Linked DNA regions of Drosophila melanogaster. The protein of the gene in region 1 interacts with the protein of each later gene in a pairwise test. Each region holds a gene or a part of one and is shown on either strand. Other genes may lie near its edges.

Evidence for each region. Proteins that work in one complex are often made in the same cells at the same time.
Region 2: the proteins of BomS6 (region 1) and CG4115 interact in a two-hybrid assay, tested with the Drosophila melanogaster proteins (one large-scale study listed by BioGRID).

The regions. Positions count from the first base shown.
Region 1 is NT_033778.4:18,387,843-18,393,025, reverse strand, and holds BomS6 (bomanin short 6), read left to right. Parts: upstream 1-2,396; 5' UTR 2,397-2,432; coding exon 2,433-2,484; intron 2,485-2,563; coding exon 2,564-2,634; 3' UTR 2,635-2,673; downstream 2,674-5,183. Other genes in the region: BomS5 (bomanin short 5), read right to left, coding at 2,849-2,919, 2,986-3,037; BomT2 (bomanin tailed 2), read right to left, coding at 3,630-3,796, 3,863-3,926; BomS3 (bomanin short 3), read right to left, coding at 4,651-4,718, 4,790-4,841.
Region 2 is NT_033777.3:12,357,044-12,365,518, forward strand, and holds CG4115 (uncharacterized protein), read left to right. Parts: upstream 1-2,964; 5' UTR 2,965-3,086; coding exon 3,087-3,232; intron 3,233-3,293; coding exon 3,294-3,447; intron 3,448-5,519; coding exon 5,520-5,882; 3' UTR 5,883-6,212; downstream 6,213-8,475. Other genes in the region: Tim17a1, read right to left, coding at 6,874-7,542; GstD10 (glutathione S transferase D10), read right to left, coding at 7,870-8,475.

The DNA of each region.
Region 1 (5,183 bases):
CATGTCCATGTCCATGTCCAAGTCCATGTCCTTCATCCCCCAGTTGATTAGCAATTTTGCTCACGTGACGGCAGGGGCTAAATGTGTTGACTGCCATGTCATTTGATGGAAATGGAAGGGTCAACTGTCAGGGGATGGGATCAGTGGTAAGTTGCTGCTTTTGCTTTGAAAATTTTTTTTTTTTTGGGAAAACCAGGTTCAATTGCTTGTTTGTCAGTCCCTTGGATAATTTACTTTGTGACAACGAGATATGGCTTCATTCGTTTTGAACATAACAAAATATCACTTAAGTATCATAAAGGGTTATTTGAAATCAAATTAAAATCGAGAAATTGTATCGAATTTGTAGTTAAGTAAACAACAGCACTGTGTTTTCTAATTAAACTATTGGTTGTGGCTTTCACCTGGGCAAACATGGAGCGCACTGACTGAGGGTAAGCGAAATGAATTTCAAGTTTATGCAAAAGGCCACAGTTGGTTGCATCATAAAGCCAAATGGTGAGAGCCATAAAACTAACCGCAGCACAAAAAAAAAGGACAATAAACGAAGCCAACGGTGGGGAAAAGCCAACAGGAATCAACAGAATGTAACCACAAGCACGGACGCTCAGGCAATCAACTAACAAAATGTACACATGTTCGGAAGCACTGCTTTCTACTTTCTAGTTGTTACTTTCTAACGCCCAGCCCAGCCCATTGGAAGTGCCACGCCCAATGAAATATGTTAGTTTTTTTATTATTATTATAAAGAAGTGCAGGCGTACTTGCTTATAAAGGAAGCTGCTAATGGGCTTGGAACCCATACAACTTATACCTCTTGGTCTGTATTAACCATGTCCTAAGTAGATCACTGTATCATTTAAATATAAAAGCACAGAAGATGTTTATGTATGTAAATAGTAAGTAAATAAAGAGACCATTTAATGTTTTATTTATTTTAAATTATGTTATTTCCTATCCAAGCCTGTCTTACTTTCTATGCTAGCAAAGTACGACCTCCCTTCCATGCTTCCCTTTCCTTCCATTGAATATTCCAACGGCTTTTCAATTTCTGTTCCATTTGAATTTATGGAGCATGAACATGAGCACTTGAGACCTGCGACTTGCCGCACTTAAACACCACTCCAAGGCCTTTGGCTGAAACATTTGGCCGGCTTTAAACGTGCCACAAAGGCAAAACTGGGCGCTGGCTTTAATTCCTGAATGAACCAACTCGACTCGATGATTAACATTTTTTTTTTCTTTTTTCGAGGAACATGTGGCAGCTGCCGCTGCCCGCAGCGCGTAATTAAATTGTTAACGTGCGCACGTGTCGGTTGGCCGTCTGTAGAGGCGCACATTTTCACATATTACGTATACGTACATGTGTACGCTCATTTGGCTCGAGTTCATTTATCCGTAATGCCATCTACGTTGACAAATGTGTGTGGAACAACAACAACGACAACAACAACAGCGTTTAGCGCATGCGGCACTAATCCTGGGTGAGTGGATGCTGGTTGACTGCGCTAAACCCTTTCTCCGCCCCATTTGCACTCACCTTTCTTCTGCTGCAAAACCACCCACCATCCCCCCCCCCACACACACACCCATCGAAAACCCCGACAATCGCCTTAAGCCCCACGAAACAGCCAAAAAACTCATTTTGCATGGAACTCGACTGGTGGTTTTTAATGCTTCATTGGCTTAATTGCCAGCCATGTGCAAAAACAAGTACATTGTGAAAAAAAACAATGTTTATTGCAATGAAAAGCAATAAATATTTTCTTTGAAAAAAAAACAGAAAACGGTCTAATTATTTATTAACTAACTAGTAAGCAGTGTAAGTTAGAATATGATATATAAAAAAGAAATAATGGTATATACCTTTGATAAAAACACAATAACAATTTTTCGTTTTTGAAATTTAAGGTTTTTCTTTTAGTGCACAAACAAAGTTACTTATAAACTGAATCAAACATACCCACCTACAGCAACTTTTTCAAAGTTAATTCGACCACAAACACGTTCATTTACCTTTGGCGACCACATAGATACACACATAGAAAACGAAAATTTAAGAAGTTAAATTCTTGCTAGTAAACTGCAGTGTCATTCGTTACGTTTTCAGTTGTTTCATTCTTTGTTTTTATATGCATTAAATAAGATATTTCAAAAGTGCTAGAATCGAATAAGTTAGATTTGAAATTTCCCTGGAATTAATAACTGCTTTGTGTGTTTGCCAATCACAGACAAAGATCTCTTTAAAGCTACTAAATCGCTGGGGATAGGCTGTTCAAATCAAGTTATGACGCATTTTTATATACTCCAGGGGTCATATTTTAATTGAAAAAGTGCGCAATTTGCTAATCAAACCGATTTGCGCGGCTATAAAAGAGACCTGTTTGAATCGATAGGCAATTTAGTCGCTGAATCGTCAAATCACAAACAATATGAAGCTGCTCTCGATTACTTTTCTCTTCGGACTTTTGGCTTTGGCTAGTGGTAAGTGCCAATGATGTGCTGTATAAATAATAAAAACCTATTTCTAATTGAAATCTTTTTTTTATTTATTTATTTCTAGCCAATCCCCTGAGTCCTGGCAATGTGATTATAAACGGCGACTGCAAAGTTTGCAATATACGCGGCGATTAGAATGTGGAAATCAGAATATGAAATAAACTAAAGTCACTGAAACACCAAAATGTTGTTTATTATTATAATTATTAACTTTTGCAGTTAGAAATGAAGTTCGAACTATTATAGTTTGCGTACTAATAAAATAAAAAAGACCATCACTTTATGCACAATCTGTATTTTTCATAAGTTTTATTGTAGTTACTAAACATCAAAGTTTTATAACTCCAATTTAGCCTCCGCGAACATTACAATGACGGCAATCTCCATTGATAATGACATTACCCGGATTTAACGGAGAAGCTATAGTAATAGTAGAAAAATAATTAGGATACTGGTTAAGGATGTATGAATCTTATAGATACTCACCCACTGCCATGGCGAGCAGACCGCATAGAAAGACCAAGGACATCCACTTCATATTGTTGGCAACGGTTGAAATGAAACTGATAAAAATTCACTTCATTGGTTTTCTTTTATAGGCACCTTTATGATGAAATTTAAATATCAGGTTTTTCCCGGATAGTACGTATCTCAGCTGTTGTAATCACACAAAAGTTGTGCCCAGTCTGGAAATGCCCTACAAAAAAAAATGTTGATAAGGCGATGTACATTCAGAACAATGGCAAAACAAAATAAAGCGATAGCGATCAATCAATCGAATATAAATAATAATAGATTATTGTAGATTTGTCTCAAATAGGAAATCTAATTCCAAAATCAATATGAATAAATATAAAAATTAAAGCTAAATTATTTAAAGCTTCCTAGCGGTTTAAACAAAGCTGGGAATTAAATTAAATTTACAGATTTTAATCTAATATGCAATTGCTATAATCTAAATGCAATTTAAATACCCATAAAGTTGGGATTTGTTAAATAGCAGTTTTAATATGTGACTAAATCTATACGTGATAAGGGTTGTATTTAAGTTCGCAATTTGTCACAAGCTTAAGGTTTTTTTTTGAGAAATAAAAGATATTATTTTATTAACTTATTGATTACATAGTAATTTAACTGAATATATGATATATAATTCCAAAGAAGATGGCTCCAGATGTGAGTGTGTAAGACATGGATCCAGCTGATTTATGGTCTGGAGGAATTATAATTCCCGGATCATTATCAGGCTTATTGCAGTCAATGCATTTCCCATTGATATACACTTGTCCCGGCGTAGCTGCAATAAGGAAATGATTAGCTAAAAATATCATATATATATTTTATTATTTCATTAAATAATTACCATTAACAGCTGCCAGCAGGCAGAAAAGCAGCATCAAAGTTCCGGCGACTTGAAGAGCTTTCATGTTTTTCCTTGGGGATTTCGAATAAATCTGACTGCCAAAGTGCGAGTGCTCTGCTTTTTATATGCCATAGTACATATAGTATTTGCTATATTATATATATAATTGTTTATAATTATTTTGCGGGATTTTACATAGTTATTTTAAAGAAATGTCTGGAAAGGAGTGCCTATTAATTAGTTGTTTAATTATTGTTATTTATTAAACAAAAAATCGGTAAGCTGTATCGATTTTATTGCTAAACCATACAGTAGCAAGGCTGATCTATTTGGATAATAATGTAATTAATCAAATCATAATATGATAATATAAAATTTGTATTAGTCTTTAAAACATTTATTTGAATTAAATACGGTATTCTCCATCGCCTAAGATCATTTTCAATAATTTGTTTCTCATTCCAGATCTCTAAACTAACAAATAACAAATATTAAGCTGACTTTAAGCGTCTTTTAATGACAAGTGATTGTTTCATAGTTTGTTTTCCTAGAACTTTGTAATACATTTTGCAATTGGAATACATTTAAGTGGTTTGCCTGAACCTCAACTGCCTTTCAGTTGTTATCTATAGAAATCAATAATATTTCCCCATTACAAATAATATGTTGTTTTGTTTGGAATATATTTAATATGGGCACTTGATTCTAGGAATTTCTATTACATTTTCGACTTAAAAATATGTGTGGCTGTGTGAACTTCAACTGGCATCCTTCATTCTCCGCTGCCCTTAGGCCCTCACATTGCAGACGCGGCAATCGCCATTGATGATGACATTGCCAGGATTCAGGGGAGTGGCTGTGTTGGAAATATAATTAAAATCATAATTAAATAACTTATTTAGTTTGTAAATAGTTGGCATTACTCACCGTTGGCCAGAGCCAGCAGACCCAAAACGAAGGCGAGTGATAGGAATTTCATGTTGTTGGTTTTTGTGGTTGAATTCTGAGCTTGACTCCCGCGTATTAGCCGTTGACAACTGATGCTAAGTGTTGAGAACAACACGCTTTATATAGTCATAGAGCAGCCAAGTGTACCGATCTGTCTTATCAACCAACTGGCAGCGACACCGGGAAAAGTCTGGCCGAGATTGGGATTCTCCCAAGCTCAAGCCAAAGCCAACACCTCCATCGAGAAATTCCCGAGTGCAGCGGTGCGACGTTCTCAATGAAATTGAGCGTAAACAAGTGCAGACTGATAGCCCCGAGCTGCGCGATTGGAAGAGGGAAATCCAAGCTGGTCCAGAACGCGATTCTATTCACG
Region 2 (8,475 bases), on another chromosome or scaffold:
TCAAATCGAAATATGTGAGGAAAATGTGATGGCACATTTTGAAAGAATAAAATATTAAGATTCTCTATATTGTGTCAATATCTTATGTATATATGTGGCTTGACCCCTCGAATTCCGTAACTAAACAGTTTAGTTCCATTACAAATATTGTTTTAGAATGATAGCCGGAAACTCACGGTCGAAGAGCTTCCTGTTTTTGGGTACTTCCCTGAAAACGAGGTCTCTGGGTCAATCGGTTGACTTTTAGATCTTGGGCGTGTTTGCGAAATTGACACGGAGCCAATATCAAATGGTGTTGACTTTGATTCAGTGGATTGCCAATATTTGTAATCAAATCACGGCTGGAGCATAAAGCAAACTTTAATTATAAAATGCTTTTATTGTCATATGCAGCTGACATAAATATTAAATAACGTGAGTAATTGACGTTGCTAAGCCGAATAATTTAGCATTTTATAAATTTTGGTCAGTCAAAAACTGACATTGAGGGGGCCACTCGAAGGGAAATCCAAAATGGGTGGTAAACACGGTTAGATTTCCGTTTGCATAACTATTAGTGAACATATTTGCATAAATTATCGACACTCGATGAAATTGGGACGACTGCACCTGACCTCACTCTCTTTTTGTGCAAATAATTCAACAATATGTAACCTGTGCAAAAATATTTTTCAAAAACAGAAAACCGAAAACAGAAATATGTACAAGGAGAGTACAAAACTTTTGGTCCAACTGACGGCGGCACTTTCTCCTTTAATATTTACCCAACTCATCGACAAATTGGCCAGGCCCATTCCCCAGCCTCATCTCATCGGTCCCAGCCGCATAGCCCATAAGTCAGCCCCTTCTCCCTCTCCCTCTCCCGATCCCGATCCCCATTCCGATACCGTCTGGGAACTCATTGCGTAAATATGAGGGCATGCAATGCGGTAATAGGCTGGCTGCGCGTCTCTTGACAGTTGGGCCCAGTTTCCCGGTTCCTTATCACATGATTATTACCCAAAAATATTATCGCTAAATGATGATGATCATTTTGGGCTTGAGAGTGCCCACGGGAATTCATGTAACGCCGAGTAGCTCACACAAATTAAATAAATTATGCTTGCCCGAAAGACATGGCTTAAGCAAATACACGTGTTGACCATGTAAATGGGTTGCCTAATTTATTATAATTTTTATTGCTCTTTGTCGTTCAGCATTGCACGCCGGTCATTTGAAATTTGAAATTTAATATGTGGAATTTTTTCAATGCTAGCAATTGGGATTTTTCCAAACTCTGTGTACAATATATTGAAATAATTTTACTTAACACCCACCTCTGTGGCATAGTTTAATAATAATCGATACAAATATTTTGCTAAATATTATAGAAATTTCTGAGAAATGGGCGCGGCTGGCCCAGCAGCATCCAGCATAATCCGCCCAAAGTGTCCAACGAGATACATGTGTCAGGTAATGAGCGGCACCTGCCTTCGTGTAACTTTTGCCGTTTTACCGATTGCCATAAAGTGCGATTTAACAGATACCTTTGCTTTTTCAAAAACCGCCATTTTTTGGTTTCGGCTGTGTTCGGTCGACATGCTCAACTGCACGTGAGTTGAAGATGTAAAAATAAAGAAAATAACGCGCGGAGGAGACAAAACTTATCGAGGCGATCATGTTGAAATGCGTGAATTGAGCTTGGGTTTTGGGTTTTTGGGTTTTCGGGTTTGCTCGGCTTACTCTTCACTTTCAACTGGTGAAATTTTCGTACTCATCGGGGCTGACCTTGATCTGGGTCCCAAGCTGTGGAGAAAATAATGTAGATGGGCATCATTTCTTATGCTTATGCAATGGCAAGTGTGTTTGGGTATATCTTCTGGCTATTTATGGCCGGCATTATGTAACGTTTGGCAGCTCATTTAAAATTATAAGTACGATTAGTTGTTATATAGGTGCGTATTTAATGTAGCCACAGAACTTATTGATTAATAAGTGACCTTTACATTTCAATTATGTCGATTTCAATCGACATAAATTGTTGGTCAACACATCAGTTGAGATTATGCAATGAGCAAAGCGACAAAAGCACTGGCAAATACATACATTTCTGAGACGAAGCAAACAATAGCGTAAAATGCATTTATTTATGCAAAGAGACAGGAGACGCAGCACACAAAAAAAGTTCGAAATTTCCGTGCCAAAAACGATTTTGGCTCAAGTGGTGTCGTGTTTGTGAAGCTAATTAGATGGGAGTTAGCCCAATCCATTCAACGGCCATTCAAAGCGAAGTGGTGCAAAATGATGCGCAAGCCAAAGAAACGCCACCCATCGCCCACCGATCGTCCCCCCCTCCCCTTTTTTTGCACCACTTTGGCCACTTATCATTCACGGTTGCTGGTTAAACAGCCACTGAAGATTAGGCCATTCTCCCCGTGCTCCAATTTATAAATGGGTTACAGATTGCTCTTAAAATATATACATACATAGGTGCAAATTCACGAGTATCTACTTAAATCAAAAATTCTAGCAAGTCGCTAGAATTCTACTAATCTACTAATCTTAACATTTAAGTTTTTAGCTTAAAATACTTCTGGCCTAACCATTTTCCAATCTATTCAAAACATTTAAAAGGAATTTTTCAAAATGAATCAATCTCTAAATTTATTGCCTCTGTAGTACAGGGTATTCAAATTTCGACTTGCATACAATCAGCTCCGTTGATTGTTACAATGTTTCTCACACTAAAAATCCTGAAAATAAAAAGTTAAATTAAAAGAAAGTATATGGTTTTTATAAAGAAAAAAGAAGTGTTCAACAGTAGGACTTCATGGAATAAACATTTTCGAGTGTAGTACTGCCGCCAAACCAAAAAAAAAGCCCCACCACTCATTCTCTCTTTTTGGGGTACGGCGCTCTCATCGAATTGAGTGGATGGATCGATGCGACTCTCGGTTCGTATATAAGGCGGGGTTCCCCAATGCTTTTGACATTCCAGTTGATCAGTGCCAGCCGATCGGTCGGTAGAGAGAAGTGCGTCGCGAGTCCAAAAAAGAAAATCGAGCCCGCAGAAAGTGCCAGTGAATAGACTGATAAAGCAAACAAAAATGAAAGCTTTCATTATCGCCGGAGTGTGCGTGTTGAGCGTGCTGAGCCTGGGATCCGCTCAGTTCCAGAACGGACGTCTGGAGCCGCCGAATCCGCAGCTCTGTGCCCAGCGTGTCATTCACGAGAAGACTCCCGATGGCAAGGGGTGAGTCAGCAGGATATGCTCACCAAAACATAAACTATAGGGTTTGCTTCTCTCCCCGCAGTTACTTCTTCTCGTGGCGCGACCCTCAGCTGAAGGGCGTGGAGGAGGACTGGCTGACCGCCAGGAACTACTGCCGCAGGCGCTGCATGGACTCCGTTTCCCTGGAGACCAGTTTGGAGAACGAGTGGATCAAGCAGTATGTTGTGCGCGAGAATGTAAGTACAAATTTCAGGGGCTATAACGATGAAAATAAATTAAGGCAAGAAATGATAAGAGAAATCGAAAGACTTAGGAAACGAACTCAAGTATAGGTGTTGTCATGAATAGCACACAAATGCGCACACGCAAAGCTAATCTTTTATCTCAACTTTCATAAATATTTACTCCGAAAATGTTGAGTCTATAAATGGATTGTCCCAAGTCAATAAATTAAACCTTACGTAAGTCCCACTTATGATATTGGAACCATGTCCAAACTAATAAATTGATCTGAACTTCAATGCACCTGTTTGTTAAACATTTAAGCATTGATAGATCAAACAAATGACCGAAAATACCATTGAAATGTGCAACTCATTCACTATGTATATGTTTTTTTTTCCGGCGAAAGGCTATTATAAATGCAAAATCAAACACTAATAAATGGACCGCATCAATGTGGACTTTTACACCTTAAAGTCGAAAAAGCTTGCCAATAATTTATTGTACCTGCATCTATTAGATTTTGTTTCCGTTGTTTTCTCACCTGTTTTGCATGACATTATGTCACCTTTCTTAATTTGTTTGGCAAGTTAAATAACGTCAGTTTAGCCGCGTGTGAACTGTTTAGCGCGTTTTATTTGGCAGCTCAGACAAGACACAACAAAACGCTGACCTTAATTCCGAGGATGCTGGGGGGGCACACAATAAAAATAATTGCGAAATCCCTGACACTAACATCGCTCCACAAAGTTCAATGTGAAATTGCGCATAAAAACTGAACGGAAAGGCAAAATACGCATCATAAATACAGAAAAACTTTCCCAGTTGTTGCCTCTGTAATTTTGCACACGAATGGAATCGTCTGATATTATGCAACGCTCTTCGGATGAACAAGTGTCAAGTTTGGAGTTGTGGTCAGCCGGGCTCATCTCATCCCATCTCATCTGCCATCTTCCGACTCATTGCCCACATCCCATCTCCGGTTTTGCGGCATGGGAAGGCACTGGCGGTCGAATTAAAATCGAAAGTACATGTGTGCGATGGGAAAGCCTGGCCGGAAAAGCTGATCAACAAAATTACTTAGCAAAATTAGCAAGCTGCGAACACGCAACCGAATTCATTTGTTTTACATTTTGCGTATAAGATCCAAAAGGAAATTGAATGCAAACCATAGGCGATAAAAAGTCGAAGATGGAAAGTAACTCATGATCATCGAATATTAATATATTAACCACATATCAACCAACATATAAGACAACAAATCTTTTTTTAGATGTCCAATGGAAACGCAGTACTTTCCATTAAAATTTTCCGCTTCCTGCTAAGTTGCATCTCCCACCACCGACTTCTCTGCAAGACTTTTATTTAACTATTAGTAGGACAGGTGTATAAACATCACTCATTTAGGTTTCCGCAACGGGTAAAATGCATTCATTGTCTGAGTTTTAAACAATTACATTGCAATCTGGACCCCTTAAATGAAACGCTAAAACCGCCAGCGACAAAACCGAAATCAATGTCCATAAATCTATTTCAGCTTTACGCTCATTGGAGTTTTCCAAAAGGGCAGACATCCACATCGAGTCGTCTGGGTCTCTTTGTTTTTTTTTTTTTTTTTTTTTTGTGTGCTGCCCCCTTAACAAAACAATTTTTATGGCCCATCAGGTGAAAGTGACTGATGATCGCTTAACTGCGGCTGCGCAGCGGCTTTTGCTTTTGCTTCTGCTCACTTGAAATGTTGACAGTATCGGGTGCGCCAGCTCCAAAAGGGCGCGGACTCGGATTCGGAATGGGAATGGGTATGGGTATATGGGTTCGCTTTCAGCGATAAAAATGGTTGTTTGGGCGTGACAGGCCCAAAAGAGTTGCTAACTGGAATTTCTACCACTATTTTGTTCGTCGATGCCAGCCCTGCATTTTCTTGCGTAGGTGGGGGATTGATGGGGGAAATTTCTATTTCTATTTCAGTATCTGCAAGGGGCAATGAACTATTGATACTATTTCATTGATTCAGTTTCCTTGGATGGATATTTGAATTTTGTCCTGGTTTCAGTACATTAATGAGAACACTACTCTCACGTTGCAGGTGAAATACATCTGGACCAGCGGCCGCTTGTGTGACTTCAAGGGCTGTGACCGCCCCGATCTGCAGCCCACAAACATCAACGGTTGGTTCTGGACCGCCACACTGCAGAAACTGGCACCAACCACTGAGAGGAACCAGGGCGATTGGTCGCCCACCGGAGGCATTGGCCTGCCCCAGCCGGACAACCGCGAGTACAAGCAGAATGGAGCGCCGGAGAATTGTCTCGCCCTGCTGAATCAGTTCTACAACGATGGCGTAAACTGGCACGATGTGGCATGCCATCACAAGAAGAGCTTCGTCTGCGAGGAGAACGATGCTCTGCTGAAGTATGTGCGCTACACGAACCCCAATCTGCGCATCTAAGAGGATCGCGATCAGGATCAGAATCCGAATGCGAATGTGGGCTGGCGGAAGGACCAGCGACACTCTCCAAGTAAAACCAAAAATGATATTTCCCAAATCGGCAGCGGGAACGATGATCGATGTCAACTATATGTCTAATCTCCGATTGTCTTTGAATGCAAAGTTTTCTGGCCAAATTGCTGCATGATATACTTACTTATGAACCCTATCCTGGTAACCACCTTCCAATTCTCTGCGCTCTGTTCTGTCTCATCAACTAGTTTAATTCTTAATTTTGTATTAATTTATGATTTTCTTTAATTATAATAAAAGATTCGAAACGATTTTGATAAGTGGACAACGGCATTATTTATTTTTTTGTTAATTTGATATAGCATTGAACGTTTAAATTGATTTATTTAAGGATATTATGATAGAATCATAAATACCTCTTTTCCAGGGTAGAGGTTAGATATTAATAAATGCTTTTTATTAAATCTACAGATCCTAAGAACCCTCTTTCAAATTGTATGATATTGTTCAGCGCTGCAGATATGAATATAAATCTGTTCCGAGTTTTGTTTTCCATACGATGAAATAATTGTACAAATTTGAATTATAAAAACCAAAAAAAAGTTCTGTTTCAAGCTGAGCCATTTGAAGTATAACACAAGAGAAAATGCTACAGTCGAGTTTCCCGACTACCAGATATCCGTTACTCAAGTAGTGGGATTTTTCTGGGATATCTATAGATTGGGAAATACATACATACATTGTTTTATTCAACCTTTAAAAAAATAAAGCCACAAAATAAAGTGTTTCGAACTTGAAATTCTGACGCCAAGAAGTATGCTATGATTTTGATAGTAGATAAGCTTTAGTATCTTATGCGTTTTGTATATTACGATCATGAAATGAACGGTGAAAACTAGTACATGCACACAATTTTGATGAGTGATTGTTGAGAACGAAAGATTGAATGAAAATGAAAACCCTTTTTTTTTGGGCAACACTAGAACATCTGGGACAGTTTCACCAGATCCAAGAGGGAATAAAATGGCTTCTGTTTGGAATCTCGCTCGTGACTCTTAACCGGAATGTCCTGAAGTAAATTTGGTTCCCTGCTCGCCCGACATTTGTCCAGCACCCGTTCAAACTCCGCCAGTGCGAAATCTTGAGTGGATGACGCTCTCTTCGGATCAATAGTCTCCAGTATGGCCTCCCACTGGGCCCGCTGCGGCTTGATGACTATCCCTGCACCTTTGTCGGCTGCATTAATGGTGGCCACTGCTGCACCGGCTCCTTCAATCATGGCCAGCACCAGACAGCCCACCAGAGCACTGTTGGCCATGGCCCGAATGCCATTACGGGCTGCCAATATCCCACCAGTGGCCGCTCCACTGAGTATCGAGTTCCAGGCATCCTCCCTCTGGCGATAGTGGACCAGGGCGCAATCCACTGTGCTGAAAGTGGCACCCCAAACGGCAAAGCTGCCGGCAATGGACGGCGTTCTCATCTTCACCAAATCAATGCCACCATAAAGTCTGCGCTGCAATCCGGTAGGAGCGTTACGGAAACCCTTGAGGAACTCGAACAGCGAACCACCGATGGTGCCCATCATGAAGGCACATCCGCAATCCTCCACAATCCTAATGGGACACGGCTGGCGATTGTACTCCATGGCCTTGACTTACTATATCAAAACCTTTGGGTATACTAATATTCTTCAAGTGGCTTCAAATCAAAAACTTGTGTTTTGGAAATAGACTTTTGAGTAAACATAATACGAAGTGTTTGGGATGCTGACGTTTGCGTCCTTTCTAGATGTTTACAATTTTATGATATTAAATTTGTATTTCAAAAAACGGATTAAACTTTAAAAGTGAATTTTTTTTATTTAACTATTGAAATGTCTATCGAAATCCAGCCCAGTCTTAATCTTTAAATATATAGTTTTTTCTTGATAACCGAATAATAGGTGTTTTATCAGTATTTCGGGTTCATATATTCAGTTATCGAAGTATTTGCGGAACTCCTGGCAACCAGCCCAGTTTTCCTCCCAACCGGGAGTCAGTTTCTTGGCATTCTCGTACCAACGTGCCACATTGGCATACCGCTTGAAATCGAAGCCAGCCACATCGAAAGTGGAAACGGTGGCCAGAAAGGCAATATCCGCCAAGCTATAATCCCCTCCAGCGCTGTAGGTCTGCCCCTCCAGGAATGTGTTTAGGAATTCGAAGGCCACTTCGATCTTCTTGTAGTTCTCCTCATTGGCGGGCTTCTTTAGGAAAATCTGCGGATAATAGTACTCGGAGAAGCTCTTATACAGCGTACCCATGTCGAAGTACAGGCGCTGATTGATCAACGCCTGCTTTTGCACATCCTTGGGGAAGAGCTTGTCGTCCTTGCCGTACTTCTCCACCAGATAAACCATAATCGCCCGCGACTCCCACAAAGCAAATCCATGGTCGTGCAGCGTGGGGATCGTGTGCTGCGGATTGATTTTCAGGTATTCCGGCGTGAATTGCTCCCTAGCTCGGGTGTTGATAATGGTCTTCTTATCGAACTCCACACCCAGTGCCTTGGCTGTCATCAGAACAGAGCGGCAGGGAGC